2 linked regions of the Rhinolophus ferrumequinum genome follow. The protein of the gene in region 1 interacts with the protein of each later gene in a biochemical or structural test. Links are inferred from orthologs where the notes say so. Each region holds a gene or a part of one and is shown in the gene's direction. Other genes may lie near its edges. The genes, in order: SHQ1 and DKC1.

The links.
Region 2: the proteins of SHQ1 (region 1) and DKC1 are reported together in a solved structure, tested with the Homo sapiens proteins (2 studies listed by BioGRID, with this or other methods). The link is inferred for Rhinolophus ferrumequinum from reciprocal best matches to the Homo sapiens genes SHQ1 and DKC1.

Annotation. Positions count from the first base shown.
Region 1 is NC_046300.1:66,542,073-66,557,458, reverse strand, and holds the start of SHQ1 (protein SHQ1 homolog), read left to right. Parts: upstream 1-6,761; 5' UTR 6,762-6,883; coding exon 6,884-7,026; intron 7,027-15,386. UniProt on the Homo sapiens protein: Required for the quantitative accumulation of H/ACA ribonucleoproteins (RNPs), including telomerase, probably through the stabilization of DKC1, from the time of its synthesis until its association with NOP10, NHP2, and NAF1 at the nascent H/ACA RNA.
Region 2 is NC_046284.1:5,794,263-5,809,606, reverse strand, and holds the start of DKC1 (H/ACA ribonucleoprotein complex subunit DKC1), read left to right. Parts: upstream 1-8,589; 5' UTR 8,590-8,755; coding exon 8,756-8,771; intron 8,772-9,575; coding exon 9,576-9,643; intron 9,644-10,084; coding exon 10,085-10,171; intron 10,172-11,527; exon of another isoform or gene 11,528-11,683; intron 11,684-11,979; coding exon 11,980-12,071; intron 12,072-12,284; coding exon 12,285-12,469; intron 12,470-13,039; coding exon 13,040-13,104; intron 13,105-13,476; coding exon 13,477-13,603; intron 13,604-13,840; coding exon 13,841-13,971; intron 13,972-14,069; exon of another isoform or gene 14,070-14,202; intron 14,203-14,406; coding exon 14,407-14,550; intron 14,551-15,344.

The DNA of each region.
Region 1 (15,386 bases):
CAAACTCTTCCAAAAAATTGAAGAAGAGACAATACTCTCTAACTCATTTTATGAGGCCAACATTCCCCTGATACCAAAACCTGGTAAAGACAACACAAAAAAGTAAACTACAGACCAATAACTCTGATGAACACAGATGCAAAACTCTTAAACAAAATACAAGTAAATCGAATGCAACAAAGCATTAAAAAGATTATTCATCACGAACAAGTGGGGTTCATCCCAGGGGCACGAAGATGGCTCAACATACGCAAATCCATAAACAAAATAAAGGACAAAAACATATGATTATATCCATTGAGGCAGAAAAAGCATTTGACAAGATACAACATCCATTTATGATTAAAACACTTAATAAAATAGGTATAGGGTGAAAATACCTTAACATAATAAAAGCCATATATGACAAATCCTCAGCTAATATCATAATTAAGGGTGAAAAACTGAAGCCCTTTGCTCTACATTCGGGAACATGACAGGGCTGTCCCCTATCACCTCAGCTTTTCAACACAGTGTTGGGAGTTCTCGCCAGAGCAATCAGGCAAGAGAAAGAAATCAAAGGCATCCAAATTAGGAATGAAGAAGTTAAATTGTCACTCTTTGCAGATGACATGATGCTTTATATCGAAAACCCTACAGACTGCACCAAAAAGCTATTAGAAACAATCAACGAATACAGTAAAGTTGCCGGCTACAAAATCAACATACAAAAGTCCATTGCTTTCCTATATACCAACAATGAAATCTCAAAAAAGAAACCAAAAAAAAGCAATTTCTTTTGTAATTGCAGCAAAAAGAATAAAATACCTAGGAATAAACTTAACCAAGGATGTGAAAGACCTATATGCTGAAAACTATAAGACATTTTTAAAAGAAAATGAAGACACAAAGAAATGGAAAGACATTCTGTGCTCATGGATTGGAAGAATCAACATAATTAAAATGGCCATATTACTCAAAGCAATATGCATATTTAATGCAATCCCCATCAAAATCCCAATGGCATTTTTTAAAGAAATAGAACCAAAAATCATCAGATTTGTTTGGAACCACAAAAGACCCCGAACAGCCAAAGCAATCTTAAGAAGAAAAGAACAATGCTGGAGGTATCACACTCCCTGACTTTAGCTTGTACTACAGGGCAACAATAATCAAAACAGCATGGTATTGGCAGAAAAACAGACACATAGACCAATTGAATAGAATTGAGAACCCAGAAATAAAACCACATAAATATGGACAGATAATTTTTGACAAAGAAGCAAAAAACATACAATAATAAGACAGCCTCTTCAATAAATGGTGCTGGCAGAATTGGAAAGTCACGTGCAAAAGAATGAAACTGCACTGCTGTCACCATGTACCGAAATTAACTCATAATGGATCAAAGACCTAAGTGTAAGACCTCAAACAATAAACTGCACAGAAGAAAATATAGGTACTAAACTTATGGACCTTGGGTTCAAAGAGCATTTTATGAATTTGATTCCAAAGGCAATGGAAGTAAAAGCTAAAATAAATGAATGGGACTATATCAAACTTAATAGCTTCCGCACAGCAAAAGAAATCATCGACAAAATAAAGAGGCAACCAACCGAATGGGAGAAGATTTTTGCAAACAGCGCGTCCAATAAGGGGCTAATATCCAAAATATACAAGGAACTCATACAACTCAACAACAAAAAAACAAACAACACAATTGAAAAATGGGCTAAGGACCTCAAGAGACATCTCTCCAAAGAGGACATACAAATGGCAAATAGACATATGAAAAAATGATCAACATCACTAATCATCAGAGAAATGCAAATAAAAACCACAATGAGATATCACCTCACCCCAGGTAGAATGGCTATCATCAACAAGACAAATAGTAACAAGTGTTGGAGAAGTTGTGGAGAAAAAGGAACCCTCATACATTGTTGGTGGGAATGCATATTGGTGCAGCTGCTATGGAAGGCAGCGTGGAGGTTCCTCAAAAAATTACGAATAGAATTACCATATGACCCAGCAATCCCTCTCCTGGGTATCTACCCAAAAAATCTGAAAACATTTATCCATAAAGACACGTGTGCTCCAATGTTCATTGCAGCTTTATTTATGGTGGCCAAGACATGGAAACAAGCAAAATGTCCTTCAATAGATGAATGGATAAAGAAGTTGTGGTATATATAAACAATGGAATACTATTTGGCGGTAAGAAAAGATGAAATAGTACCATTTGTGACAACATGGATGGATCTTGAGATTATAATGCTAAGCGAAATAAGTCAGGCAGGAAAAGTTGAGAACCACTTGATTTCACTGATGTGTGGTATATAAACCAAAAACAACAAAAGAACAAGACAAACAAATGAGAAACAAAAACTCATAGACACAGACAATTGTTTAATGGTTACCAGAGGGTAAGGACGGTGGAGGGTGGGAGATGAGGGTAAAGGGGATCAAGTAAATGGTGATGGAAGGAGAACTGACTCTGGGTGGTGAACATACAATGGGATTTATAGATGATGTAATACAGAATTGTACACCTGAAATCTATGTAACTTTACTAACAATTGTCACCCCAATAAACTTTAATTTAAAAAAAGCCTATTAAAAATACAGGAAAATTTTGTTCTTTTAGTAGAGCAGCAACATTAATTTTTAGCTTTACATAAGTCCAATATTGATATTAAGCTTAATAACAATTTAACTTTAGCCTGCTTAATTTCAATTGGTAAAATTTTTTCTCTTTTTGTCTTCCCATTTTGAAATAACCAGGACAAATTCTTTTCATTTTTTAATGGAAACATATATCTATATCTTAAATCACCTTTTACTGAAAACATCTATTAATTATTTCCCTGCTAATTTGAATTTTTAATCTTTAGAAACGTTAATTTCTAGTGACAACTAAAAGTGAGCAATTAGCATACTCTAGATTGTCAAAGTTATGAATACATTTCATAGTCTCAAAAATATAGGCTCTTGGACTGGAAAATATATTTGATAATTTTTAGAAACATTTGTTTCCTCAACATAGCATAAAACATGTTTATTAATGAACCCAAATATCTTTAGTTTTTCTGTGTTAAGAAGCCAAAAATAGGGCCGGCCCAGTGGCTCAGGTGGTTGGAGCTCCATGCTCCTAACTCCGAAGGCTGCCTGGATTCCCACATGGGCCAGTGGGCTCTCAACCACAAGGTTGCCAGTTCAATTCCTTGAGTCCTGCAAGGGATGGTGGGCAGCACCCCCTGTAACTAAGATTGAACTTGGCACCTTGAGCTGAGCTGCTGCTGAGCTCCCAGATGGCTCAGTTGGTTAGAGCGTGTCCTCTCAACCACAAGGTTGCCGGTTTGACTCCCACAAGGGATAGTGGGCTGCACCCCCTGCAATTAGCAACAACAACTGGACCTGGAGCTGAGCTGCGCCCTCCACAACTAAGACTGAAAGGACAACAACTTGACTTGGAAAAAAAAAAGTCCTGGAAGTACACACTGTTCCCCAATAGAGTCCTGTTTCCCTTCCATCACCATTTATAACAGAGATAACATGAACTTATTTTTTCGTAAACCCAGATAAAATAAAAATATTATATTAAAAGTTAATAACTCTAAAGACATGTCTGTTTTAATGAAACCAACTAACTTAATATTAGTTTTAATATCAAATTTTTCCAAGATCATGTGATATTGAAAAATATTTGTGTTAATTTCTATTGTATTGCTTAATTCATTCAATCCAATTAAACAGAGCTCTTTATAAATTAATGCTAATAATTTCCCTCTAGAGGTATATATATATATATATATATATATATATATATATGTATATACAAGGCAATTCCTCTGATATATATATATATATATATATATATATACACACACTAAGGGGGCCCCTGCCCCCTTGAGGTAAAAACCCCCTCCTGATCTCAAATAATGGTATTTAACCTCAGTCCAAAAAGGAGGGAGGTCTGAACCTAAGAGGGCTTCAGTCAAGGAGATAGTGGTCCATGGATGTGGTGAGCACAAAAAAGGCTGTTTAGGTATTATACCCAGACCCAGGATATGCTGGTCCATGAAGGTGAAGCCATTTTAGATCCCACTCCTGACATTAGATATGTTAACCTAAAAAATAAAGGCAAAGTGAGAAGCAAAAAGCATTTATTTGCGATTTGAAAAATAGCTATTTGGGAAGCTGATTCAGACAGAAACCCAAATAAGATTCTGATTAGGAGACAAAGGCAAGGGGTATTTATAAGAAAGGGAAGGAGAACAATTACATGAATAGTAGGAAGGCATTTCCATTGGTGCAGATGAGCTAACATGGAGATGTTCATTCTAAAGAATGTTTTTAATTTTTAGTCTGGTATTTGTCAGTCTGATAGTAATAATATCAGCTTTGTTGTTATCCCTGTAAACAGTTTTTTGGGACATAATGTTGCTTTAAGCCCAGCCCAAAGTTTATTTTGCCCTGTTTTAATATTCCAGAGGTTTGAGGCATAAGACATGCAAGGCAATTCCTCTGATATTCTATTTTAAAATGACTTTGTTTATATTGTTTTAAATAGAATTTATAACGTGTAATTTACCACTAATTAGAAATACAAAAATAAACAACAGCTTGCAAATAAAACACCACCAACAAAACCCTGTTATGTAGTTGCAACTATCAGTATTTTGCGATACATCAGATGTAATACTTGTATATATTTCTTATAAGAGCAGCAATGAATCATACAATCTGTTTATCTGTGTTGCAATCCTGTGTGTGAGTGTGTGTGTTGCCAAACATAGAATAAATTATCTAGAAAGTACACAGCTCTACTTTAAAGTGCTTTCAATTAGAGTTTCCTCATGGATAGCATAACTTCAGTCTCAGTTAATTTTCCTGCATTAATAATTTAAAAATATTAATACTTGTGACCTATAGGAATGAGGTCCCTTGGTAAATGTAAAGCTAATTTGGAATGATCCAAAGGCCTATTTCAAGGGCTTTACTAACTACAAGTTTTATCAATGTATTTACAGTATTGAGTGCATGTTATTTGTAAGGTTCAGTATGGCCTAAAACAGGGAGGCTTGGTTCAGAATAGGAAACAAGTTGGGTACCGTGTTTCCGCAAAATGAGACCTAGCTGGACCATCAGCTCCAATGCATCTCTTAGAGCAAAAATATAAGTGGTCTTATATAATATAAAATATAATATAATATAATATAATATAATATAATATAAATAATACTGGGTCTTACATTAATTTTTAAGGGAGTCAGTTCTATAGTATTTTAGAGCCTGGGAACAGAAATCAGATTCACTTGGGTTTCAATTCCTGTTTCACCACTCACTAACTGTGTAATCCTGTGCAAACCATGGGGATATATAATGCCTACTTCATAGAGCTGTCACAAGGAGAAAATGAGATCACTATAAAGGATTTTGTATGTGCCGGCACATACTAAATTTCAGTTAATTCAATTAATTCCTCTACTACCCAAGGAATAGCTGAATGTGTGTGTAAGAGTATGCTTTAAATTGTTTTACACACGACCTCTTATTTTGTCTTTATCAAAACTCCCAGATTTAAGCAGAGTGGTTTTTATTTTAAATTTTTAAAATTTTGTTTGCTCTAGTTAATGTATTTGTCTGAGTCTTAATTCTAAGACTCATGAAAAATGGAAGATTGAAAAGGCTTTTGAAGTTATCTGGTCCACTGTCAGAGGAGATGGCTAAATAGGTACTATTTCCTGGACTATTCTAGCTATTGGTGGAATAACAGGAAATAAAATTAGAGGAAAGGAAGGCCAAGGGAATATGTAGGGGAAGAGAGAGACTAGTGGGGAAGCACTGGGAGAGTATGAGGAGCATAGATGAAAAGGGGAGGGGGGGGGAGAAGACAAGCGAGCGAAGGGTAAAAGGAGACCGAAGAGGACCGCAAACAAGTCTAAGGAGAAAACTAAGAAAAGGAAAAGTACAGAAAGACAGCAATTTGCCAATACAGGCTAACCCTAACATGGTTTAAGAGTCAGACGTTCTGGGTCTGATCATTGTAAAAGTGCATGATTATTATAAGACATATTGCTTAACCTTTTGAGTCGTTCTTTGGAGTTCCTAGTGTTGAAAGAGATTAGGTGGATGACGATCTGTAAACAAGAAAACTCTATTCAAATAAGGAATTAGGAAAGAGAGAGGGAAAGAGGGAGATACGGAGGGGGAGAGGAAGAAGAGAAGGAGGGGAGAGAGATTGCATAGAAAGGCGGTGAGGAAGAGGATGAAAAGGGGATTGTTGACCAAACAGCTGTGATCTAAGGAAAACCACAGTAAGGATGCTGCTGTGTGACTGAGCCAACACATCGAGCATCGACAACTTGCAGGTACGTTGTTAGAGCTTTACATATTTTCATCTTATCTTCACAGTATCTCTATGGGGCTAGATCCTAGTATTATTCTCATTTTATACAAGAGGTATGTGAAGCACAGAGAAGTTTTGTAACTTTCCAATGGTCTTAACAGCTGGGAAGTGGCCGAGAAGGGATTCAAAAGTAGGTCTGCCTACCCGCAAAGCCAGTGCTGTTAAAATCATCTCTAAGAACCTCGAAAGAGGCTTGGTGGGTCAAAGGTGGACTCTTGTCCGTGTTCTGCCAAGTTACGCTCTGGGTTCAATACCTATGCACAAAGCTCCACTCGCCCTTTCTCTATTTCTCCACCAATAGCATCCCGTCTCCACGGAGAGAGGTGAGAGGCGGGACTTCCTCGCTCACGCACGAGCACTTCCGCCTTGAGCCGGAAGCGCTGTGACTCACCGAACGAGCATCTGCGCGTGGGTATTTCTTGGAGAATTTGAGTGGTGAGATCGTGGCCGCAGTGACAGTGACTGACTTGGGTACAGGAGTCCGGTGCGGCAATGCTGACCCCGGCGTTCGACCTCAGCCAGGACCCCGACTTCCTGACTATTGCTATCCGCGTGCCCTACGCCCGGGTCTCGGAGTTTGACGTCTACTTCAAGGGGGTCGACTTCAAGTTCTATGCCAAGCCATATTTTCTCAGGTGAGTCCTGCGTGTCTGGCCACGGGAAGGGTGTTTTGGGGCTTCATTCATTCATTCACTCATTCGATAACCACTTATCCAGAGAGGATGAAAGAACGAGGGAGCACTTCTCGATTTCACCACTGCCTTTTTCCGAGACCCCCGCAGCTTCTTTAGGTGCCTAAGGAAGTGAACTCTTGTAGGTGTGCGTTCTAGATACTGCCGAAGCTCATCTTAAAACTTATTAAATCTCCACATTAGAGGGATTTCGGAGCCACTTTAAAACGTGGCGTTTGGGCCTCTGTAACTTTCCCAGTTTCGTCCTGTCGCCCAGGTTCCCGTCCCTTCCTTTTCCTGTTCTTTATTTCGCTCTGCGTTAGTCCTCTTTGCCCAAGGACAGCGCGCGCTGACTTCCCAACTGACCATTCCATTTGACTGTTCTTAGTCCACGTTGTGTTATCCACCTCTTGACTGACCTCTCCCTTCTTCCTGAAATTCTCGCCTTCCGTGGCCCCCATGACACCAAAGTAGCTCGTTCTCCTACTTCCTCATTATCTGCTGCTTCTCTGGTTTTGCCCCTTGACTGTGGTTGTCGTCCCCCATGTCTCGGCGAGGAGCCTTCAGCATTTGTTGTTTGCATTTTCTCCCTGCAGAACCATAGTGTAACAGTAGTAAACAGCTACCACTATTCACATTCCATCTGAGAGGAGGGACAAGCAGTGTGTTAAATGCTTTATGTTCATTATCTCATTTAATCTTGACAGTGGTCCTCGGAGATAGGCATTATTATTATTAGTCCCCTGTTACAGAGGACACTGCCACATTATTCTTCTTAAACATTGTCAATACTCCCCTTTCCTAGGAGGGTAACATCCATTCTCCTGATCATTCTCATTCAAAGATAGCTCCACCCCACTTTTCCTGCCCTAGTACTTCCTGATACAAACCTTCCTCTGGAATCAAGCTGTTCCTCACTGGGACTGAACCAGTTTTTTCTCAGATACCCATTAGGCCCAAACTTAATTCGCCTACTTGAGTATGCTGCACTTATCTATTTCTGTACCTATTTATATCTTTATTTGTTTATCAAGTCCATGGTATGTACCAGGCTCTATTTTCAGTATTGGAGATGTAGTGGTGCCTCAGTGGTTTACATTCTAGTGGGGATAGAAAAATAATAAGCAAACAAGTAAACATATAACTACAAATCATAGTAAGTGCTCTGAAGGGAAATAAAGTGCAGTGATAGAGAATAAAAGAGAGCCAATGTTTATGTAAAGTGGCCAAAGAAAGCCTTTCTGAGGAGGTGATGTTTAAGCCAAGATATGAAGAATGAGAAGATGCTGATGATGGTATAGCAAAGATTTATTGGATTTTTACTCCAGGTCAGTGCTTTACGTGGATCATCTCATTTGGTGTTAGGGCAGTCCTACAAAGTAGGTTCTGTCATTTACCCATGTTACAGATGAGGGATCAGAGGCTCAGAGAAAAGTTGTTAAATAAGATAGGATTGTAAAATAAAATAAATACAATAAAATAAAAATTTCAAAGTAAATATCACTTTGCTTAAGTCAGAGTTTTGATAAAGACAAAATAAGAGGTAATCTGTGAAACAATTTAGACTACTCTTTACACACATTCATCCATTCGTTGGGTATCAGAGGTTGGGAATTGGGCACACCTGAGGCTCAGCACATTTGGTGTTCTGTGACTTTGGGCAAATTATTCAGTCTCAATTTTCTCGTTTGTAAAATGGGACTAATATTAGTGATCTTAAAAAATTGATGTGAGGATTGAGATAATGCATACATAGTTCTTATTACCATGTCTGGTAATTAACCATGTATTCAATAAATAGTAGGTATTATTAAGGGCCTGCTGTTTCAGTTGTCGTGCTGATAACCAAGCAAACTTAATGGTCTAAAACAATAATCATTTAATTAACTCCCTGGTTTTTGTGTGTCAGGAATTTGATAAGGACTTGGCTGGGCTCTTCTGGATTGAGGTCTTTAATTCAGTTGTGACCACATGATGGCTGGATCTGGAACAGGAAGGGCCTAAGCAGCTGAGGACTGGCGTGGTGAAGTTGGGGAGGGTATCTCTCTTCCTGTAGTCTTACGACCTCCCTGTGTAGTCTCTTCGCATGGTCCTAATTTGTGATTCCTTCAGGGAGTTGGAGCACAAACAGGATAGCTAAAAGTTTCTAGAGTGAGTATTCCAGCCAGCAAGGGAGAATCCATATCATCTTTTATGACCTAACTTCAGAAATCACAATCAATTCTGTTGTATTGTATTGGTTAAAACAGTTCTAGAAGCCCACTCAGTTTTAAAGGGAGTGAACACTGACCCCCCCCCCCCAGTTGGAAGCAGTGATGTGACATGGGCCATCTTTGTTGAAAATATAGTTTACTATAGCACAACAAAGATGAATAAAATCTCACCCCTCTCCTTGAGGAATTGAGAGTCTAGCAGAGGAGGCATATCTGTGAACAAATATGATTTTACTATTTCACGGTAAGAATTTATACTACAAGAATCTAGGAGAAGGGAGCTAGTAATAATAGCTTACATTTTTTTTTCTCTCAAATCTTTTTTTTTTGTTATTTGTTCCAGGTCCTATAAAACAACATAATGATTAGACATTTACACCCCTCACAAAGTGATAAACCCCCCCCCAAGTCTACTACCCATTTGAAACTAGATAGCTATTACAATGCCATGGATTATTATATTCCCTATATTCCTGTACTTTATATCCCATGATTATATATACTTAATTATAGTTGACATTCAATACTATTTTATATTAGTTTCAGGTGTACAGTGCAGTGGCCAGGCATCCATACAACTTAAGAAGTGATTCCCCTTGTCAAGTCCAACACCCAGCTGACACCATGCAGTTTTACAACATTGTTGACTATATTCCCCTTACTGCACACCACGTCCCTGTGACTATTTTGTAGCTACCAATTTGTGCTTCCTAATCCCTTCACCTTTCTTACCCGTCCCCCTTAACCCCCTCCCATCTGGCAACCATCAGTTTGTTCTCTGTATCTATGAGTCTATTTCTGTTTCGTTTGTTCATTTATTCTCCTTAGATTCCACATATAAGTGAGATTATAGGGTATTTGTCTTTCTCAGTCTGACTTATTTCACTTAGCATAATATCCTCTAGGTCCATCCATGTTGTTGCAAATGGTAAGATTTCATTATTTTTTATAGCAGAGTAATACTCCATTGTATAAATGTACCACAATTTCTTTATCCAATCGTCTGTTGAAGGGCATTTCGGTTATTTCCATATCTTGGCTGTTGTGAATAGTGCTGCACTAAACATAGGAGTACAGTAGTACCTCAGTTTTCGAATGTCCCTGTTGACGAACATTTCGGTTTATGAACACCATAAACCCGGGAGTAAATGCTTCTGTTTTCGAACACGCCTCGGAAATTGAACATGTCACATGGCGTCCGCTGAGTGCAAGATCCTGAGACCTAGCTGTCGGCTGTTTTCCAACGTTTCAGAACTCCAACGGTCTTCGGGAATGGATTACGTTTGAAAATAGAGGTACCACTGTACATGTATTTTTCTCAAATTAGTGTTTTGGATTTCTTTGGATAGATACCCAGGAATGGAATTGCTAGGTTATAAGGTAAAATTTTAAATTTAACCTTCTATGTTAAATTTTTTGAGGAACCTCAATACTGTTTTCCATAGGGCTGTACCAAATTACAATCCCACCACAGTGCATGAGGGTTCTCTTTTCTCCACATCCTCGCTAACACTTATCTGTTGATTTGTTGATGACAGCCATTCTGACAGGAGTGATGTGGTATCTCACTGTGGTTTTTATTTGTATTTGTCTGATGATTAGTGATGTTGAGCATTTTTTCATGTCTATTGGCCACTTGTATGTCCTCTTCGGAGAAATGTCTCCATATGTCCTCTGCCCATTTTTTAATTAGATTGTTCGTTACTTTGGTGTTGCACTGTATAAGTTTTTAAAAATAAATTTTTTTAAAACCATTACTAACATTTTTTGAACAATATAACCATGATAACATCTTTTGAGATCTTAAATATATGTATGTATCAGACAGTCTACAATATTATGCACGATTTCTTTTTTTTTTGTAGTTCTGCATAATTTTTCTTTTTTTAAATTTATTGAGGTGACAATTGTTAGTAAAATTACATAGATTTCAGGTGTACAATTCTGTATTACATCATCTATAAATCCCATTGTGTGTTCACCACCCAGAGTCAGTTTCCTTCCATCACCATATATTTGATCCCCCTTACCCTCGTCTACCACCCTCATCCCCCTTACCCTCTGGTAACCACTAAACTATTGTCTGTGTCTATGAGTTTTTGTTTCTTATTTGTTTGTCTTGTTCTTTTGTTGTTTTTGGTTTATATACCACATATCAGTGAAATCATATGGTTCTCTGCTTTTTCTGTCTGACTTATTTTGCTTAGCATCATACTCTCAAGATCCATCCATGTTGTCACAAATGTTCCTATGTTATCTTTTAAATGCCAAATAGTATTCCATTGTGTATATATACCACAACTTCTTTATCCATTCATCTATCGAAGGCCATTTTGGTTGTTTCCATGTCTTGGCCACCGTAAACAAAGCTGCAATGAACATTGGAGCACATGTGTCTTTATCGATAAATGTTTTCAGATTTTTTGGGTAGATACCCAGGAGAGGGATTGCTGGGTCGTATGGTAATTCTATCCGTAATTTTTTGAGGAATCTCCACACGGCCTTCCATAACGGCTGCACCAGTCTGCATTCCCACCAACAGTGTACGAGGGTTCCTTTTTCTCCACAGCCTCTCCGACACTTGTTACTATTTGTCTTGTTGATAGCCATTCTGACTGGGGTGAGGTGATATCTCATTGTGGTTTTTATTTGCATTTCTCTGATGATTAGTGATGTTGAGCATTTTTCATATGTCTATTTGCCATTTGTATGGCCTCTTTGGAGAAATGTCTCTTCAGGTCCTCTGGCCATTTTTCAACTGGGTTGTTTGCTTTTTTGTTGTTGAGTTTCATGAGTTCCTTGTATATTTTGGATATTAGCCCCTTATCGGAGGCACTGTTTGCAAAAATCTTCTCTCATTCAGTTGGTTGCCTCTGTATTTTGTCGATGGTTTCTTTTGCTGTGCAGAAGCTTTTAAATTTCATATAGTCCCATTCGTTTATTTTAGCCTTTACTTCCATTGCCTTTGGAGTCAAATTCATAAAATGCTCTTTGAATGCAAGGTCCGTAAGTTTAGTACCTATGTTTTCTTCTATGCAGTTTATTGTGTCAAGTCTTATGCTTAGGTCTTTGATCGACTTTGAATTAATTTTGGTACATGGTGACAGAGAGCAGTCCAGTTTCATTCTTTTGCACGTGGCTATCCAATTCTCCCAGCACCATTTATTGAAGCTTGGTGACAGAGAGCAGTCCAGTTTCATTCTTTGCACGTGGCTATCCAATTCTCCCAGCACCATTTATTGAAGAGGCTGTCTTTCCTCCATTTTATGTTTTTAGCTTCTTTGTCAAAAATTATCTGTCCATTTATGTGGTTTTATTTCTGGGTTCTCAATTCTATTCCATTGGTCTATGTATCTGTTTTTCTGCCAATACCATGCAGTTTTGATTATTGTAGCCCTGTAGTACAAGCTAAAGTTAGGGAGTGTGATACCTCCAGTGTTGTTCTTTGTTCTTAAGATAGCTTTGGCTATTCGGGGTCTTTTGTGTTCGAAACAAATTTGATGATTTTTTGTTCTATTTCTTTAAAAAATGCCATTGGGATTTTGATGGGGATTGCATTAAATCTGTATATTGTTTTGGGTAATATGGCCATTTTAACTATATTGATTCTTCCACTCCATGAGCACGGAATGTCTTTCCATTTCTTTGTGTCTTCTTCAATTTCTTTCAAAAATGTCTTATAGTTTTCAGCATATAGGTCCTTCACATCCTTGGTTAAGTTTATTCCTAGGTATTTTATTCTTTTTGCTGCAATTGCAAAAAGAATTGTTTTTTGTATTTCTTTTTCTGAGATTTCACTGTTAGTATATAAGAATGCAATGGACTTTTGTACATTGATTTTGTAGCCAGCAACTTTACTGTGTTCGTTGATTTTTTCTAATAGCTTTTTGGCAGAGTCTTTAGGGTTTTCTGTATATAGCATCATGTCATCTGCAAAGAGTGATAATTTAAGTTCTTCATTCCCAATGAGGATGCCTTTTATTTCTTTCTCTTGCCTGATTGCTCTGGCAAGGACTTCCAACACTATGTTGAAAAGCAGAGAAGATAGGGGACAGCCCTGTCGTGTTCCTGAACGTAGAGCAAAGGGCTTCAGTTTTTCACCATTAATTATGAGATTAGCTGAGGGCTTGTCATATATGGCCTTTATTATGTTAAGGCATTTTTCTTCTATACCTATTTTATTAAGTGTTTTAATCATAATGGATGTTGTATCTTGTCAAATGTTTTTTCTGATCAATTGATATAATCATATGATTCTTGTCCTTTATTTTGTTTATGTGATATATCACATTGATGGATTTGCGGATGTTGAACCATCCTTGTGCCACGGGAATGAACCCCACTTGGTCGTGATGAATGATCTTTATAATGCATTTGTATTCGATTTGCTAGAATTTTGTTTAGGATTTTTGCATCTGTATTCATCAGAGATATTGGTCTGTAGTTTTCTTTTCTTGTGTTGTCCTTACCAGGTTTTGGTATCAGGATAATGTTGGCCTCATAAAATGAGATAGGGAGTACTGTCTCTTCTTCAATTTTTTGGAAGAGTTTGAGCAGGATTGGTATTAGATCCTCTTTGAAGGTTTGGTAGAATTCACTAGTGAAGCCATCTGGTCCAGGACTTTTGCTTTGGGAAGGTTTTGGATGACTGATTCAATTTCATTACTGTTGATCAGTCTGTTTAGAATTTCCAGTTCTTCATGGTTCAGCCTTGGAAGGCTATATGTTTCTAAGAACTTGTCCATTTCTTCTAGGTTATTGAACTTGGTGGCATATAGTCCTTCATAGTATTCTTGGATCATCCTTTGCATTTCTGTGGTGTCCGTGATAACTTCCCCTTTTTCATTTCTGATTTTGTTAATTAGTGTCTTCTCTCTTTTTATCTTAATGAGTCTAGCCACGGGTTTGTCAACTTTGTTAATCTTTTCAAAGAACCAGCTCTTTTCACATTAATTTTTTCTATTGTCTTTTTGTTGTCTATTTCATTTAGTTCTGCTCTGATTTTTGTTATTTCCTTTCTTCTGCTGACCTTGGGTTTCCCTTGTTCTTCTTTTTCTAGTTCTTTAAGGTGTAACGTGAGGTTATTATTTGGGATTTTTCTTGTTTTTTGAGATAGGCCTGTAACGATATAAATTTCCCTCTTAAAACTGCTTTCGCTGCATCCCAAAAATTTTGGTAGGATGTATTTTTCATTGTCATTTCTTTCTACGTATCTTTTGATCTCTCCTCTAATTTCTTCTTTGATCCAGTCGTTCTGTAATAGTATGTTGTATAATCTCCATGTATTTGTGTTTTTTCCTGCTTTCTTTTGCAATTGATATCCAATTTCAAGCCTTGTGAGCAGAGAATATGCTTGGTATAATTTCCATCTTCTTTAATTTGCTGAGGCTGATTTTATGTCCCAATATATGGTCTATCCTTGAGAATGTTTCATGTACACTAGAAAAAGAATGTATAGTCTGATGTTTTAGAATGAAGTGCTCTATATATGTCAATTATGTCATTTCATCTAATGTGTCATTTAGGGCTGCTATTTTGTTATTTATTTTCTGTTTGGATGATCTATCCATAGCTGTCAATTGTATTTAAGTACCCTAGTATAATTGTGTTTTGGTTAATTTCTCCCTTTCGTTCTGTTAGTAGTTGCTTGGTATATTTCGGTGCTCCTTCATTGGGGGCATAAATATTGATGACTGTTAGTCTTCTTGTTGTATAGTCCCCTTTACCATTGTGAAATGTCCATCTTTGACTCTTGTTATCTTTTTCACCGTGAAGTCTGTTTCATCTGATACCATTATGGCTATACCTGATTTTCTCTGGGTACCATTTGCTTGGAGTGTCAATTTCCACCCTTTCACTTTGAGTCTATGCTTGTCCTTGTAGCTGAGATGTGTCTCTTGGAGACAGAATATGGTTGGGTTTAGTTTTTTTGATCCAATCTGCTACTCTGTGCCTTTTTATTGGTTAGTTCAGTCCATTTACATTTAGGGTGATTATTGCTATGTGAACATTTCCTGTCATTCTATCTTTAGTTTTCTGGTAAGGCTGTGTCTCCATTGTTTCTTTGCCTTTTTGTTATTGTCTATTATTTCTGTGTGGTGGTATTCTATG
Region 2 (15,344 bases), on another chromosome or scaffold:
TCTATGGCTTTTGCGTAGTGGATTTGCCACCAGAACACAGGTGTCGTGAAAACCACCACTAAATCTAAGCCAAAATGAGAAAGAAAAGACTCGTATCAACTTTGTCGTCATTGGATATGTCGGTTTGGGCAAATCCACCACTTCTGGCCATCTGATCTACAAGTGTGGTGGGATCAACAAAAGAACCATGGAAAATTGGAGAAGGAGGCTGCTGAGACGGGAAAGGGTCTCTAATGGGCCTTGGATCAACCGAAAGCTGAACACGAGCATGGGTGGCATCACTACTGATATCTCTGTGGAAATTCGAGAACGGCAAGTATTATGTGACCATCATGGATGCCCCAGGACACAGAGACTTTTTCAAAACACAATTACAGTCACATCTCAGGCTGACTGTGCTGTCCCGACTGTTGCTGCTGGTGATGGTGAATGTGAAGCAGGAATCTCCCAGAATGGGCAGACCCGTGAGCATGCCCTTCTGGCTTACACACTGGGTATGAAACAACTAACTGTTGGTGTTAACAAAATGGATTCCACTGAGCCGCCTCACAGAAGAGATACGAGGAAATCATTAAGGCAGTCAGCACCTACATTAAGTAAATTGGCTACAGCCCTGACACAGCAGCATTTGTGCCAATTTCTGGTTGGAATGGTGACAACGTGCTGGAGCCAAGTGCTTACATGCCTTGGTTCAAGGGATGGAAAGTCACCGATAAAGATGGCAATGCCAGTGGAACCACGCTGCTTGAAGCTCTGGATTGCTCCTGCCACCAACTCATCCAACTGACAAGCCTTTGCGTCTGCCCCTCCAGGATGTCTACAAAATTGGTGGTACTGGTATATCCCTGTAGGCCCAGTGGAGACTGGTGTTCTCAGACCTGGCATGGTGGTCACCTTGGCTCCAGTCAGTGTAACAACTGAAGTAAAGCCTGTTGAAATGCACCATGAAGCTTTGAGTGAAGCTCTTTCTGGGGACAATGTGGGCATCAATGTCAAGAATGTGTCTGCCAAAGATGTTCGTTGTGGCAATGTGGCTGGTGACAGCAAAAATTACCCACGAGGTGAAGGGGCGGCAGGTACCATGTCCAGCCATGAAGGTGACAAGAAGAAGCCCCTGAAGCAGCCCAAGAAGCAGGACAAGGACATGGACTAGGAAGATAAGGCATTCAAGCAGAAGAAGAAAGAGAAGAAACTCGAGGAGCTAAAAGCAGGCTGCGGGGAAGGGCCCCCCCCGGCCACAAGTGGAATTAAGAAGTCTGGCAAAAAGTGAGCTGTTCCTTGTGCCTGGGGCAATGGTGATCCTTAATTCCATTCCTGTTTTAACATCTGGATTCCTTGCCATAACACCTGTTGCCACTTGTAGCTAGAAGGAAGTGTTGTCTTGGAGCCTGTTGTACATTTAAGAATAAACTTTTGTAAAAAAAAAAAAGTAATAATAATCATGCATTGGCTCAACTCTTTAGTTCTTCTCACTCAGCTATTTCAACTTTAGCTGTGAGGTCAGAGGAAACCCAACCCAGAATCCTAAGTGTGTTCTTCAGTCTTTGTTCTATCCCAAATTCTGTACTTCCTGGAATTAAACCAAGTCATTTGGAAAAAAAAAAGTGACTCACCAATGGCAGCAGCTGGATTCACAGCTCAGGTGATTATCCTGAAGCATCCAGACCAAATCAGTGCTGGATACGCACCTGTGCTTGATTGTCACACAGCTCACATTGCTTGCAAATTTGCTGAGCTGAAGGAAAAGATTGATTGCTGCTCTGGGAAAAAGCTGGAAGATGGCCCGAAGTTTTTGAAATCTGGTGATTCTGCCATCATTGATATGATTTCTGGCAAGCCCGTGTGTGTTGAGAGCTTCTCTGACCATCCTCCTCTGGGCCGTTTTGCTGTTTGTGGCATGAGACAGATAGTTGCTGTGGGTGTCATCAAAGCAGTGATCAGGAAAGCAGCTGGAGCTGGCAAGGTCCCCAAGTCTGCCCAGAAAGCTCAGAAGGCTAAATGAGTAGCTTTTATCCCTAAAACCTGTCACTCCAGTCTTAATCAGTAGTGGAAGAATGGTCTCATAACAGTTTGTCTCAATTGGCCATTTAAGTTTAATGGTGAAAGACAAGTTAATGATTACAATGCATTGTAAAACTTTCAGAAGGAAAGGAGAATGTTTTGTAGACCATTTGTTTTTTTGTGTGTTTTTTTTTTGTGCTTCAGTTTTTAAGTTATTAGTTTTTAATGGAAACAACTTGACCAAAAATCTGTCACAGAATTTTGAGACGCATTAAAAGGAAATTTAATGAGAAAAAATAGCATGAAATGTTTTCACAAGTCCAAATCAAACACTTCTCAATTCATTCTACGAGGACGATATTACTCTGATACCAAAATCAGAAAAAGACAGTAAAAAGAAAGAAGGAAAACTACCGACCAATATGCCTCATGAATGGAGACATAAAAATCCTCAGCAAAATACTAGCGAGTAGAATTCATAGATACATTAAAAAAAAAAAATTATACACCATGACCAGTTGAGGTTTATCCCAGAGCGGCAAAGCTCATTCAATGTATGAAAATCAATCAATGCAATCCACCACATTAACAAGCAAAAGAGGAAAAGTCATATAACTATATCAATTGATGCAGAGCAAGCATTTGACAAAACCCAACACCAATTCATGACAAAAACTCTCATAAAACTAGGAATAGAGGGGGAACATCTATAGAAGACATATGACTAACATCATACTTAATGGTGAAAAACTGGACACTTTCCCCCTAAGATTGGGAACAAGGAAAGGATATCCACTCTTACTGCTGTTATTCAACATAGTATTGGAATGTCTAGCCAGTGCACTATGCAAAAAAAAAAATAATAATAATAAAAGGAAAGAAAAGAAACAAAAGTCACACAGATTGGGGAGGAAGAAATAAAACTGTCTCAATTTGCAGATGACATAATTGTCTTCATAGAAAATTCCAAGGAATCTACAGAAAAAAAAAATCCAATAACTAATAAATGAGTTTTACAAGGCTGCAGGATATAAGATCAACATACAAATCTCTACACAATTTCAAGACTTATTATATAGCTACAGTAATCAAGACTGTGTGGTATCGGTAGAGGAATAGACACATAGATAAATGAAATGGAACAGAGAATGCAGAAATAGACTCACATAAATTTGCCAAATTGGGTTTTGAAAAAGGTACAAAAGCATTTCAGTGTAGGAAGCACAGTCCTTTCAACAAATGGTGTTAGAGCAATTGAACTTTCATAGGCAAAACAAAAAACAAAAAAAGTTTAACCAAAACCTCACATCTTTTACAAAAATTAACTCTCAATAGATCATATATGTATATGTAAAATGTAAAACTCTAAAACTTATAGAAGACAACATAGGAAAAAAATATTTGATACCTAGGACCTGGTGATGAGTTCTTAGACATGACACCAAAAGCACAAGCCATAAAAGAAAAAAATTGATAAATTGGACTTCATCAAAATTAAAACTTTTGCTCTACAAAATATCTTGTTAGAAGTGTAGAAAGACAAGCTACAGGCTGGGAGAAAATGTTTGCAAGCCACATATCTGCCAAAGGACTCGTATCAAAAATATATAAAGAACTCTCAAAACTCATTAGTAAAAAAAACAAACACTATTAATCTAATTAGAAAATAGATAAACTACATGGAGAGTCATTTTGCTGAAGAGGATATAGAGGCAGCCAAAAAGCATATGGAAAAATGTTCAATATCATTAGCCATTAGGACAATGTATATTAAAACCACAATGAGATACCAGTACATACTTATCAGAATGGCTAAAATTAAAAAAAAACAACGCAGAATCCTCACATCGATTTCAGGACCCATGGAAGGAAGGAATCATGGCAGAAAGGCCCAAGTGGAAACCCCTGGAGCTCCACCTTCCTACCAAAGTATAAGTCAAAAGAAATATCACATACTTAGGGGAGAATGTCAAAAATTAGTTTCATTATCAAAGACTTGAAAAATGCAGGGAAGGAAATTCCTATCACATCCCCATTTAATTCACCAGTTTGGCCTGCACAGCAGTTAGTTAGGTCTTGGTGAATGTGGCAGTTTTGAACCAGGGCTCCAAAGTTCTTTGACACCCCTCGTGGAGAGGTGAGGTTGATGCCCCTTTCACTTGAACCTGGGTAGGCTTTTGACTGCTTCAACCATACAATACAGCAGAAATGATGCTATGAGACTTCCAAGGCCAAGTCACAAAAGGTTATGCAGTTTTATGCTTTCTCTGCCCTAACACTTGCTTTTGGAACCCTGAGACACCGAGTACAGAGTCTGACAACTCTGAGGCTGCCATGCTGTAAGAAAGTCCAAGCCACATGGAGAGGCCAAGTGTAGAAGGTGCCCCAATCCAGTGAAACCTGGTCTGCCAGCTGAATTCTCAGCACAACTGCAATCTGTCAGCATAACAAAATATTTGTTTAATGATACCAAGTTTTGGGATGGTTTGTTATTCCATTGATAGATGATGCTGAGGAATTCAAAGAGGATACAGTGGGAATGTCTTCTCTCTGCTCCATAATGTCTGATGGCTCGGCTGAGATGACTCAAGAGCCGAGGGTGACTGGAGGGCTGGAGGCTATAATAGTCTGGAAGCTTCCTCACTCACATGCTTGTTGCCTGTTCTAGGATGCCTATTCTGGCTATTTCATATGAATGGAATCATACAATATTTGTCCCTGTGTCTCTGGCTTATTTAATTTAACATGATGTTTTCGAGGTTCCTCCATGCTGTAGCATGTATCAGTACTTTTTTCCTTTTTATGGCTGAGTAATATTCCACTGCATCGATAGACCACATTTTGTTTCTCCATTCAACTGTAGATGAAGATTTGGGTTGTTTCTACTTTTTGGCTACTGTGACTCATGCTGCTAGGAACATTCCTGTACAAGTCCCCAACATCATGTTTGAGTCCCTGTTTTCAAATCTTTTGGGGTATATACACCTAGGAGTAGAATCACTGAGCCATATGGAAACTCTGTTTAACATTCTGAGGAACTGCCAGACTGTTTTCCCCAGCAGCTGCACTGCTGATGCTGGGATGCTGCTACTCATGCCTGACTTTAAGACTTGGTTGGTCAAACAATGCCTAGTGTATGATGTGCAGCTCAGTTCATAAGACCACTTGTATTAGATGGTCAATCAGGAACTAAAGAAGTCAGGAACTTTTCTTCCCAGCAAATTGGTGTGTGTGTGTGTGTATATACGTGTGTGTGTGTGTGTAGGTCTTAGCTTTATTTTTATCCCAATACCAGAGGCCCGAGCTATGATTTTCTAATCAAGTCATAGGAAAGGCTCTGTGTAGCATCCTTACAGGGAATGCCACGTCCAGAAAGACGCCCACCAAGCATTGTGTTTCTTTCTTAGTGACAGTAGGTTTGAGGTATAGCAAATTGCTTCTCTCTTCAGAAGGACCATCTCAATATGCCTCAGCCTACTGGATACCTAGATGTGTTGGGTTCTTGAATTTTCCTGGGACCTATCTCTCATCCTGTGGTGAAATATTTGCTACTTCTTAGCATTAGGCCCAATCAACAAGTCATCAATGAAGCAGACCAGCATGATGTCTTGGGGCACAGTGAGATAAAGTCAGTCCCTGGGGACTTAATTATGATAATGTACCAGAGAATTGAAGGGACAGTGCTGGGGGGGGCCTCCTTTTGACCTTTCTTTGTATACTTGTCTTCAGTCCTTGAGTCAGGAAGCCCCTGTGGGAATTCTTCTATCTGCTTATTGTGTTTATTCCAATTCTGCAATCAGGAACTGGGGAAAGAGCCACAGGGGTGCCCACAGCAAAATAGAGATAGATTAAGACTCCATTTCTGACTAGTGGACTACAGTGGCATTCTATGTCCCCAGGAGAAAGTGGGAGGAAGGTTTAAAATACAGTATATACTTGTAGTGTTATGGGTATCTGGCTTCCTCTTTACTTGAGGGCTCTGAGCCTGTGGACTGATTGGGTCTCGGAATTAGATGAGGGGCCATGATTTTCCATTGTGGTGATTCAAGGCAGGCTGCCATTCACCAGAACTAGAGATTCTGTTGTTGGTTGTAGGGGTTATACAGACCATGGGCTACTATAGGTAGCCTACTAACAGGACACCATGATCAGTTAACCACCCCAAAAGATCCATGGGAAGTAACCATTCTGGTTCCAACTGTCAGTCCTGCTGCCTATCATGATACCCATCCTATTTCCGAGAATTAGTGCCACCACTTGCAATGTTTCCCACCTCCTTTCCCCAACTAGTTTTCCAGAACCTTTACCAAATTTTGTCCAAGTGTTTTGGTGAAAGGAATGTCCTTTGAGCCCTCTCAGGGGATGTCATTAGAGGGTGTGCCAGTGGGATGCACATAAAAATTCCATTCCAACATTCCAACCTCCCTGAGAATTGGGACTGGAGACAACGAGGGGTGGAAGGGGTGGGGCACAAGGAGAATTGGCATTCCATTGCTCAGTAACTGACCAGCTGATTTCATTACAAGATCTCCAAGAAAGGCAGGATCAGCCTCATCAGACAGTGGGGGAGGAGCTGCTTCTGCTGGTAAGGGAAGGTCCATGGGGTTTCTAGGTTCAGAAAACATAGATTCATTCAACAAATTCTTACTGAGCATTTTCTAGGAGCTGGATATATAGCGGTGAACAGAATAGACAAAACTTTCCTGGCTTCATAAAGCTAATATTCTAGTGAAGAGATAAATAATAAGCCAGGTACACTTAAGGAACAGAGAAGAATGTGCCTGGAGTAGTCCTGAATAGCCAAGAGGCAGTGTGGTGTATTAGTTTCCTAGGGCTACCATAACAAATTACCTCAAACTGGGTGGCTTTAAACAACAGAAATTTGTTTTCTCACAGTTCTGCAGGCTGGAAGTCTGAAACCATTCCAATCTCTTCCTCCATCTTCACATGGTCTTTGTCTCTTCTGTGTGTCCTTGTCCTTCTTTTCTAAGAACACTTGTCATGGGATTTTAGGTCCACCTGGGTAATCCAGGACGATTTCCTCTTGAGATACTTAATTACATCTACAAAAACCCTTTCTCCAAATAAGGTCACATTCATAGGGTCTAGAAGTTAGGACATATCTTTTGGGGGGACCACTTTTTACCCCGCTAAACAAGGGAAGCAGAGGAGAGACACGGCCTGAAGGGCTTTGACCAGAGGCATGGCCTGACTTACAGTTTAATGGCTCTTTCCAGCTGCTGTGTTGAGAAGACACTATAGTTGGAAAGAGTAGAAGCAGAGGGAACTGCAGGAAGCCACTGAAAAAAATCTAGGAGAACCATAAGGATGGCATGGACTACCGTTGAAAAACAATCAGGTTCTGCATCTCTTTTGAAAGCAAAGCTGACAGGCTTAGCTAACAGATCTGTTGAGTGTTGGAAAAAGGTGAAGCCCATAGAACCATCAGTGAATACCTCAAACTTATTCAGCCAAACATGTATCAGTGAAGTATTACAAAATAATGGGGCAAGTAGTGAACTACTCATGGATTGGTTGATACTGGGGACTTTGGTTATCTATAAAAAGTCAATTTAGATCATTATTATTATTATCTTGGCATACACCAAAATAAATTCCCGATAGATGAAAAGTTACATGAGGAAAAACTAGTCATCAGTCTTTTTTTTTTTTTTTTGCCACAGTAAAATGAAAGTGCAAAATTTCTATTATTTGGATGGTGGAGGAGGAATGGAAGAAAAGCAGTACCTGTCCTCTTTGTTCAGCAGCAACTCATTAGAAAAGATTATTGACAAACGATTCCATTTAGAATCGCAATAAAGAATCGAATAACTAGGGATCAATCAAGTCCACACTTGAGACGGAAGAGCGAGAAGAGAGAAGAGCAAAGACAGAAGGGAAGAGGGCTTGAACCAGAAGCTGCTACTTCCTGGCTGTCCAATTCCGCAGACATTAGTGGCCTGTGACTATAGAGCACTTGCCAGGGACACCCGTTCGTGGAGTTCAAACAGAAGTGTACTGTAAATGTAAAACACATCTGAAAGACTTGGTACAAAAAAAAAAAAGTAAAATATCCCATTCGTAATGTTGTGTATTGCTTATATGTTGAAATGATATTTCGGATCACAGGGTTAAATAAAATTCGTTATTAAATTTCTTTTCCCCGTGCGGCTGCTGGAAAATTTAAAAATTCACGAGTGGCTCGCACTTTATTCCTATTGGCCAGCGCTGCTCTAGCTGGATGGCAATTGCAAGCAGCAAAGGGCTTTCAACCTCACAGTGGCTTAACGTCTTTATATTTCAATCGGGACTGATCAGACAACAACCTTAAAGGGTTGGCGTGAGGAAGCAACTTGCTATAGTTAACAGCGTCCTCAGCCAGGTGTCCACACCCGGGTTAAACCCAGTAAAGGTAAGTGAACAGCGGCCGGGGCCACGCCCACAGACTATGGGCCGCCAAGGGGAGCTAAGTTTGGGATCCCAGCCGGGGCTGCCAAGGGAGGGATCCAGGCCCAAAGCACTAGCGCACGCGCATGCGCAAGCGCGTCATCCCTGGGGCCGAGCCAGCCAGATTGTAGAGGCGTCCCGCGCGCGCCCCAGATCCGGCCCCTTTCTCCTGACCCCGCCGCACGTCGCGGCACGCACGGGGCGGTGCAGAAGTGGGCGGGGTCTAGCGGCGCGGCCTGAAGGCGGCGGGAGTCTGTAATCCTTCTCTTGGCGGTGGCCCACGCGGCTCGCACGCTGTGTGGGCAACATGGCGGACATGGAAGGTAGGGGACGCTTCCTCGCGTTTGGTAGGGCCGGGTGTCTCCGGGTGTCTCCGGCCGGGGCCAGCTCTGCTTGCTCGGAGGGCCCAGGGAGGTGGACGGCGTCGGGGCCCGACCTCTGCTCGTTCCAGCCGCTGGATTGGCCCGGTCGCCGCCGGGCTTCCTGCCGGCTTTGCTCCTTGGCTTTGGCTCTGCGGGTGAGGGCAAAAAAGCGGGAGGCGCTCGTGATGAGGTGGCGCCGCGAGGCCCGGGCTTTCCGCTGATGGCACAGCCCCTTTAGGGCCCGGGTCGCCATGGAAAGGCGTTGGCCGTGCGGGGGACCCTGCGATGGCAGGAGACCTAGCAGTACCTGTGCCGCCGGTAGCTCAGACGCCACGGTCTGCGCCACACGATGAGGAGAGGAAAGGGTAGTTGGAACGGGCGTGGAAGAAAAGGGGCCGAGGGGCTCCAGCGTGGGCGTAGGTCCAACAGGCAAGAAAGTTCAGGAGGTCACAAACACGAGCGGACAGTCAAGCGATCACTTATGGAACTTTCCGGCCTCGCGGGCCGAGCGCTTCTGCGGCGTGTTTAAGCCCCGCCACGGCCACGTGGTGAACCGATCGGAAGCTGACATGTGCGACTGCTTGCAGTCAGTTACTGAGCCGTGCAACCCACGTATTTGGCCTTACACAGTTTGTTTTCCCCAGTAATTCTATGCCAAACATCCATTTAATACCTGCCCTGGTTTCAGTCTCTATTTTAAACTTTGTTGCCTTTATTTGCGGGGATAACTCCCAAATTGGGATTTGTTTGTTTGTGTGTTTTTAGTGCTTATTTTGCCGAAGAAGCATAAGAAGAAAAAAGGGGTGAAGTCATTACCAGAAGAAGATGTAGCAGTGAGTAGGAATATGTTTTACTTTGTTTTGACTAAAAAAGACCACTTAGACAACAAATTACAGAAAACTTTTCTAAAGGTTTTAAAGAAATTTGGTGGTTGTGTAGAAACTACACAACCCCAGCCAACCTAAGCGTCTCCTATGGGGTAGTTTCCTAAATGGTCTTGGTCTCGCCAACCCCTTTCCCTGCAGTTTCCTCTCTTATCCCACCTGCAGACCCACTATCCCTCTTTCTCTTTAAATAGCTGTATCCATCTTGGGGGCACTTAATTTAACCTTCTGACATCCTGGCTCATTTCTGCTCTTTCCCTTGGAGGGTCTCACTGAAGAGGCGTAGACTACCTTGTTTTCTATTGAAACGGCATAGGCTTCTGTGGTAGTAATGGAATTGTTCAAAATCAGGTGGGAAGTCTAATAGGGTATGTTTCTGTCCCATGGAAGGAAATACAACACGTTGAAGAATTTCTTATCAAACCTGAATCCAAAGTGGCTCAGCTGGACACATCCCAGTGGCCCCTGTTGCTAAAGGTATGTGGTTAAGATTGTACATCACGTGAGTGCTTAATACTGGCATTCTTTGCTAAGGAAATGCCCGGTGATATGGTCTAAAGCAGTGTTCCTCAAAGTGTCTGAGATGAAGGACCAAGTTAGTATTTTTATTTCCAATGCACCCAACACTGTCACAGTATACATTTAAAATGTTGAAATGACATCGAACTGCTCTCAGAGTTTATAAACAATTAGTTCTTCAGTCCCTGTACTTAACGCCACCTTACAGACTCGTGCCAATTTGTGGGCCACGCTTGAAGTAGGACTGCTTTAGTGCTTGAGAAGCATGGGCTTTGAAGCCAGACCAATTTGGGTCAGGCAGTGTGTGAACTTGGGCCAATCATTTAACCTCTTTGAGGCTGTTTGCTCATAATAGCTTCTCTTAGTAAGACAAGCTGAGGGCTGTGGGAGGTGATCCATGAAATGTGTTTAGCCAGTGTCTGGTGTGTAACATGTCCTCTAGAAATTATTGACTGTTGTGTTGGGCTGTAAATAGAGTAGTAATGATTTGATTTACAGGTTTCACAAATGATTTAATGGGCACCAGCTCTGAGATTAGGAGACAAGGTTAAGGGAGACAAAGTTACTGAGAACACCCCTTGACCAAGTATTTTAATAAAACGTGTATATAATGGCAAAAGAATGAGATTTGCTTATATAATTGAACACAGTTGAGTTTCTGCTTGACCAGATGTATCTTCCATTTAGATAGCATCTGCTTTTCTGTTGTAGGCCCTGGGAATATGTCAATGAACCTGGTAGGCAAAGTCCCTATTGTCATGGAACTCAGAATGTAGGGGTGGGTAGGTGATAGTTTAAAAAATAACTGCTCTTTGTGTAAAAAATGATTGCTATTTGTGGTACTACCATGATGAAATGAAACTGGGTGATATGAAAAATGGGCTTCAATTGAGGGGAGCTCCTTCAGACCAGTGGTTGAGCCTCAGAAAGGAGGAGAGTGAAAAGGAGCAGACATGAGAAAAAAAGAGCTAGGAGCTTCTGGAGCAGTAACAAGCTAATTATGTTTGAGAGATATTGTTGCCAGTCCTCAATTAGGCTATCTTTTGTCCCTGAGAAAATCAAAGCTAGTTCATATTTTATTCGTAAAACTGCACAGTGATGCCCAGTCTGCTCTGTGGTACCCCAAGAAGTCTCTATTAGGTCGGTGCAAAAGTAATTGTGGTTTTTGCAATTGTTTTTAACCTTTTAAACTGCAGTTATTTCTGCACCAACCTAATAGAAGAGTGATCAGATTTGCCTTATTTATTTATCCATCTATCCATCCATCCAGAATGTGTTTATTGGGATGGTTCCTCATCCTGATTCAGGGTGCTTTTAGTGCTGCTGCCTTCTGAAGCAGCATCCTTCTGTAAGCCTTGCTTTTCCTCCTGTAGGCTCACAGAAGACAGTGGAGCAGCCTGCACACAAAACTAGTGTTTATACATGGCTAAGGACAGTGATTTTATAGCCTCCTGGGCATTTCACAGCCATGAAGGGGAGTTGGGGTTCTGCCCCAGGTGCTTTTTCTTGCGTTCCTCTTCTCTTCTGGAGAGGATGTTCTCATGGGGAGGTGGTCAGGAAGAAATTTGTCTTTTTCTTACTCGGGTGAATTTTCCAGTATGTAAGCAGATTTAGTCTGTCACAGCAGATAATGAACATATAGGAGCAACATCCAAGTTTGTGTACAGTAACAGTAACCATGTCGCGGTTGGTGGTAGTGCTAACTCTGGTTTTACATATATTAATGGCTTATTAAGTTTATTTTGTGTTGTATCGTTGCTTTCTAGAACTTTGATAAGCTAAATGTAAGGACGACACACTATACACCTCTTCCTTGTGGTTCAAGTCCTCTGAAGAGGGAGATTGGAGATTATATCAGGTAAGTGTTGGATCAAGCACTGTTCAAACTTGAGTTCTGTTCACAATAACCCGTTCACATCAGTTATTCAAGGAGGTAGTGGTATCGTAGAATGGCATTGCCCTAAACCGCATAGAACCTGTACCCATGGTCAACTCTTAATTTTTACTCTTCAAATTTAGTTTTTATTAGAGGATCGGAGCTGATGGCCCAGTAATTTCTTTTCCATTCTAGGACAGGTTTCATTAATCTTGACAAGCCCTCCAACCCCTCTTCCCATGAGGTGGTAGCCTGGATCCGACGGATACTTCGGGTGGAGAAGACAGGACACAGTGGTACTCTAGACCCTAAGGTGACTGGCTGTTTAATCGTGTGCATAGAACGAGCCACTCGCTTGGTAAAATCACAGCAAAGTGCAGGTACGTGGAAGAGGTGGCTAACTTGAGACTGGAAGGCTTTGTGCATTTCCTTTCCCTTCTACTTACGTGTTGGCTCTTGGAAATTATTTCTTTCATAATAAAAAGACCCTAAGCAGGGCTACTCTTGCTTTCTGTTCATCTTCTGTCCTCTGCCGGACCCTGGTTTGCCTTTCTTGGAGTTCCAGGTACTGTGTGCTGTGTGCACACTGAGGTAGACCTGCGTCCGACCAGCTCTTAGTTTATCACTCCAGGCTCCTGAACTCTGTGCTGCCGCTTCGGCCTGAAGTGCCTTTCCCTCATTTTCATCAGGGAATATTCTCCTACTTGACCTTGCGAAGTTTTTTCCAGGCAGGCTCTACACTGGGTACTCCAGCTGTCCCTGTGAGCACACTGAAACTTGAACCCTGATGAGAGAAAGTGTCTTTATTCCTTTCCCATGTCTGTACCATGCAATCTTAAGGAGGTCAAATTGCCTGCTTTTCCTGCTGCACAAAATGGGAGTGATATGAGTATATAAAAATACAGAAAACTCAGTGGCCGCACCTGACTACTCTTTTGTCATTTTTTCAGGCAAAGAGTATGTGGGAATTGTCCGGCTACACAATGCTATTGAAGGGGGGACTCAACTTTTTAGGGTAAGTCTGTAATTGTAGGGAGGGCATCCTTTGGCAGTGTGGATCTCTGAGCCCCTAGACATCTGGAGACAGGTCAGCTTTCCTGGCTGGCGTCTCTTGTGCCCCTTTCAGTGGGCTGCCTTAACCAGCCTGGACAGGTGACTACAAATGGCAGGGGCACTTCCGGCCATGTCCCTTCTGAGGAGAGGGTTCTGATCAGCACTGAGCCATCTCTGTGTGGTTGAAGAAAAGCAAAAAGCATTTTAGATCTTAAATGATTGAAAGAAACCTGTGCATTTCAGTTGTGTGCTTAAACTCCCATAATGTGCCCTTTGATCTTATTTGAGAGTCCATGCAATGAGAGTCTTTATTGTGGTTTGTGCTTATTCTCAGGCCCTAGAAACTTTGACAGGTGCCTTATTCCAGCGACCCCCACTTATTGCTGCAGTAAAGAGGCAACTCCGAGTGCGGACCATCTACGAGAGCAAAATGATCGAGTACGATCCTGAAAGAAGATTAGGTGGGTCATTAGGCCTATGAGGAATTGAATTAACATAGACGGGGCGGTGGTGGTGTAGGAACGCTTCCTTGGAAACTGCTCTGTTGGTAAAAGTCCATGCCCTTAGTATATGGTGCAGTTGTGGCCTGTGTCTGTCGTCTCTAGTCTCACTGGCTCAGGTCTGGGTTTCTCAATTGGTGGTGTGTTTACTTTGGAAAATATTTACTAGTTTTGTGTGTGTGTGTATGTGTGTCTTAGGAATCTTTTGGGTGAGTTGTGAGGCCGGCACCTACATTCGGACGCTGTGTGTGCACCTTGGTTTATTATTGGGAGTTGGCGGTCAGATGCAGGAACTTCGGAGAATTCGTTCTGGAGTCATGAGCGAAAAGGTACACACCATGGCGGGACAAGAAGTTTTAGAGCTGGTACTTAATATAGTCTATCCCAGGGTGCAACTCTGTCTGCTTCACGTCCTGGGAAAGGCAGTTTCCAAAGTGTTGAGTTCAGTTCAGGGCAGCACCCCCTGTTCTGTTAATTAAACTTTGGGACATTGAAACAGGCTAGGGAAGATGATTGGATAGAAAGCATTACTCTATTCATTTACTTCCCAGCCTACAAAAACGCTTGCTCAGATTTAAATGTATGATCAGTTAATGATAATCAGCAGTTAAAGATGTCCAGAGAGGAGTGATTCTAAAGTAACTGAAGACCAATGAACTTAGACTTGGCAGACAAGACTAAATTCATTCAGTGTTCGGAATTTGGGGGTCCATTGGGCTGTTTGAACAACGACACTGTTATTTTCATACACCGCTGCTTTTCAGGACCACATGGTGACAATGCATGACGTGCTTGATGCCCAGTGGCTGTACGACAACCACAAGGATGAGAGTTACTTGCGGCGAGTTGTGTACCCTTTGGAAAAGCTGTTGACATCTCATAAACGGCTGGTTATGAAAGACAGTGCAGTAAGTTCTGGGCTTTGAGTCCATGTTTGGATATGTTATACGTAGTCCATAATAAAAGGCAAAGAATAAAGAGGTATACTGAAGCATGTCACTATGACAATAGCCACATAAAACAGAAATATAATTGTCATATACCTTCCTTATGCTGGGGTCAAAGTGGTAGCTTCTGGGTGATTTTTTTTTTTGTAATTTAATTTTTTTTAATTAAAGTTTATTGGGGTGACAATTGTTAGTAAAGTTACATAGATTTCAGGTGTACAATTCTGTATTATATCATCTATATATCACATTGTGTGTTCACCACCCAGAGTCAGTTCTCTTTCCATCACCATATGTTGGGACTTCTGGGTGAATTTAAGGGGGCGGGGTTGGAATACTGTCAGCAGAAGAGATCTAGGTGAGTGAAGACAAGATGGGACAAGGCAGGTGGATGCATTGAGTGTCACTGAACTCTGGGAGAGGTGGCCTTAACTCGTACCTATTGGCCTATAGGTTATGCCAAAACGTATTTGTATTGGTTCAGCAGGCCTCATAATCTGGCTTGTGAGTTACTTTGGGAACCTGCTATGACCCAGATCTCCCAAAAAATCTAATCGGTCTCTAGTTCTGTCCAAGTTTTTCCCTAACGTAAGGCATAGAGAAGAACTGTTAAGGAAAACTAAGTCTAGGTTTGGGTTGAAGATGAAACCACCTTTCAGTCCCACAGATGTACAAGGAGTAGCTATGTGAAGGCCTCTAACATTTCTAAGCCAGTGTGTGTAAAGTGCCTAGTGCATGGTGCATGGCTGCTGTTA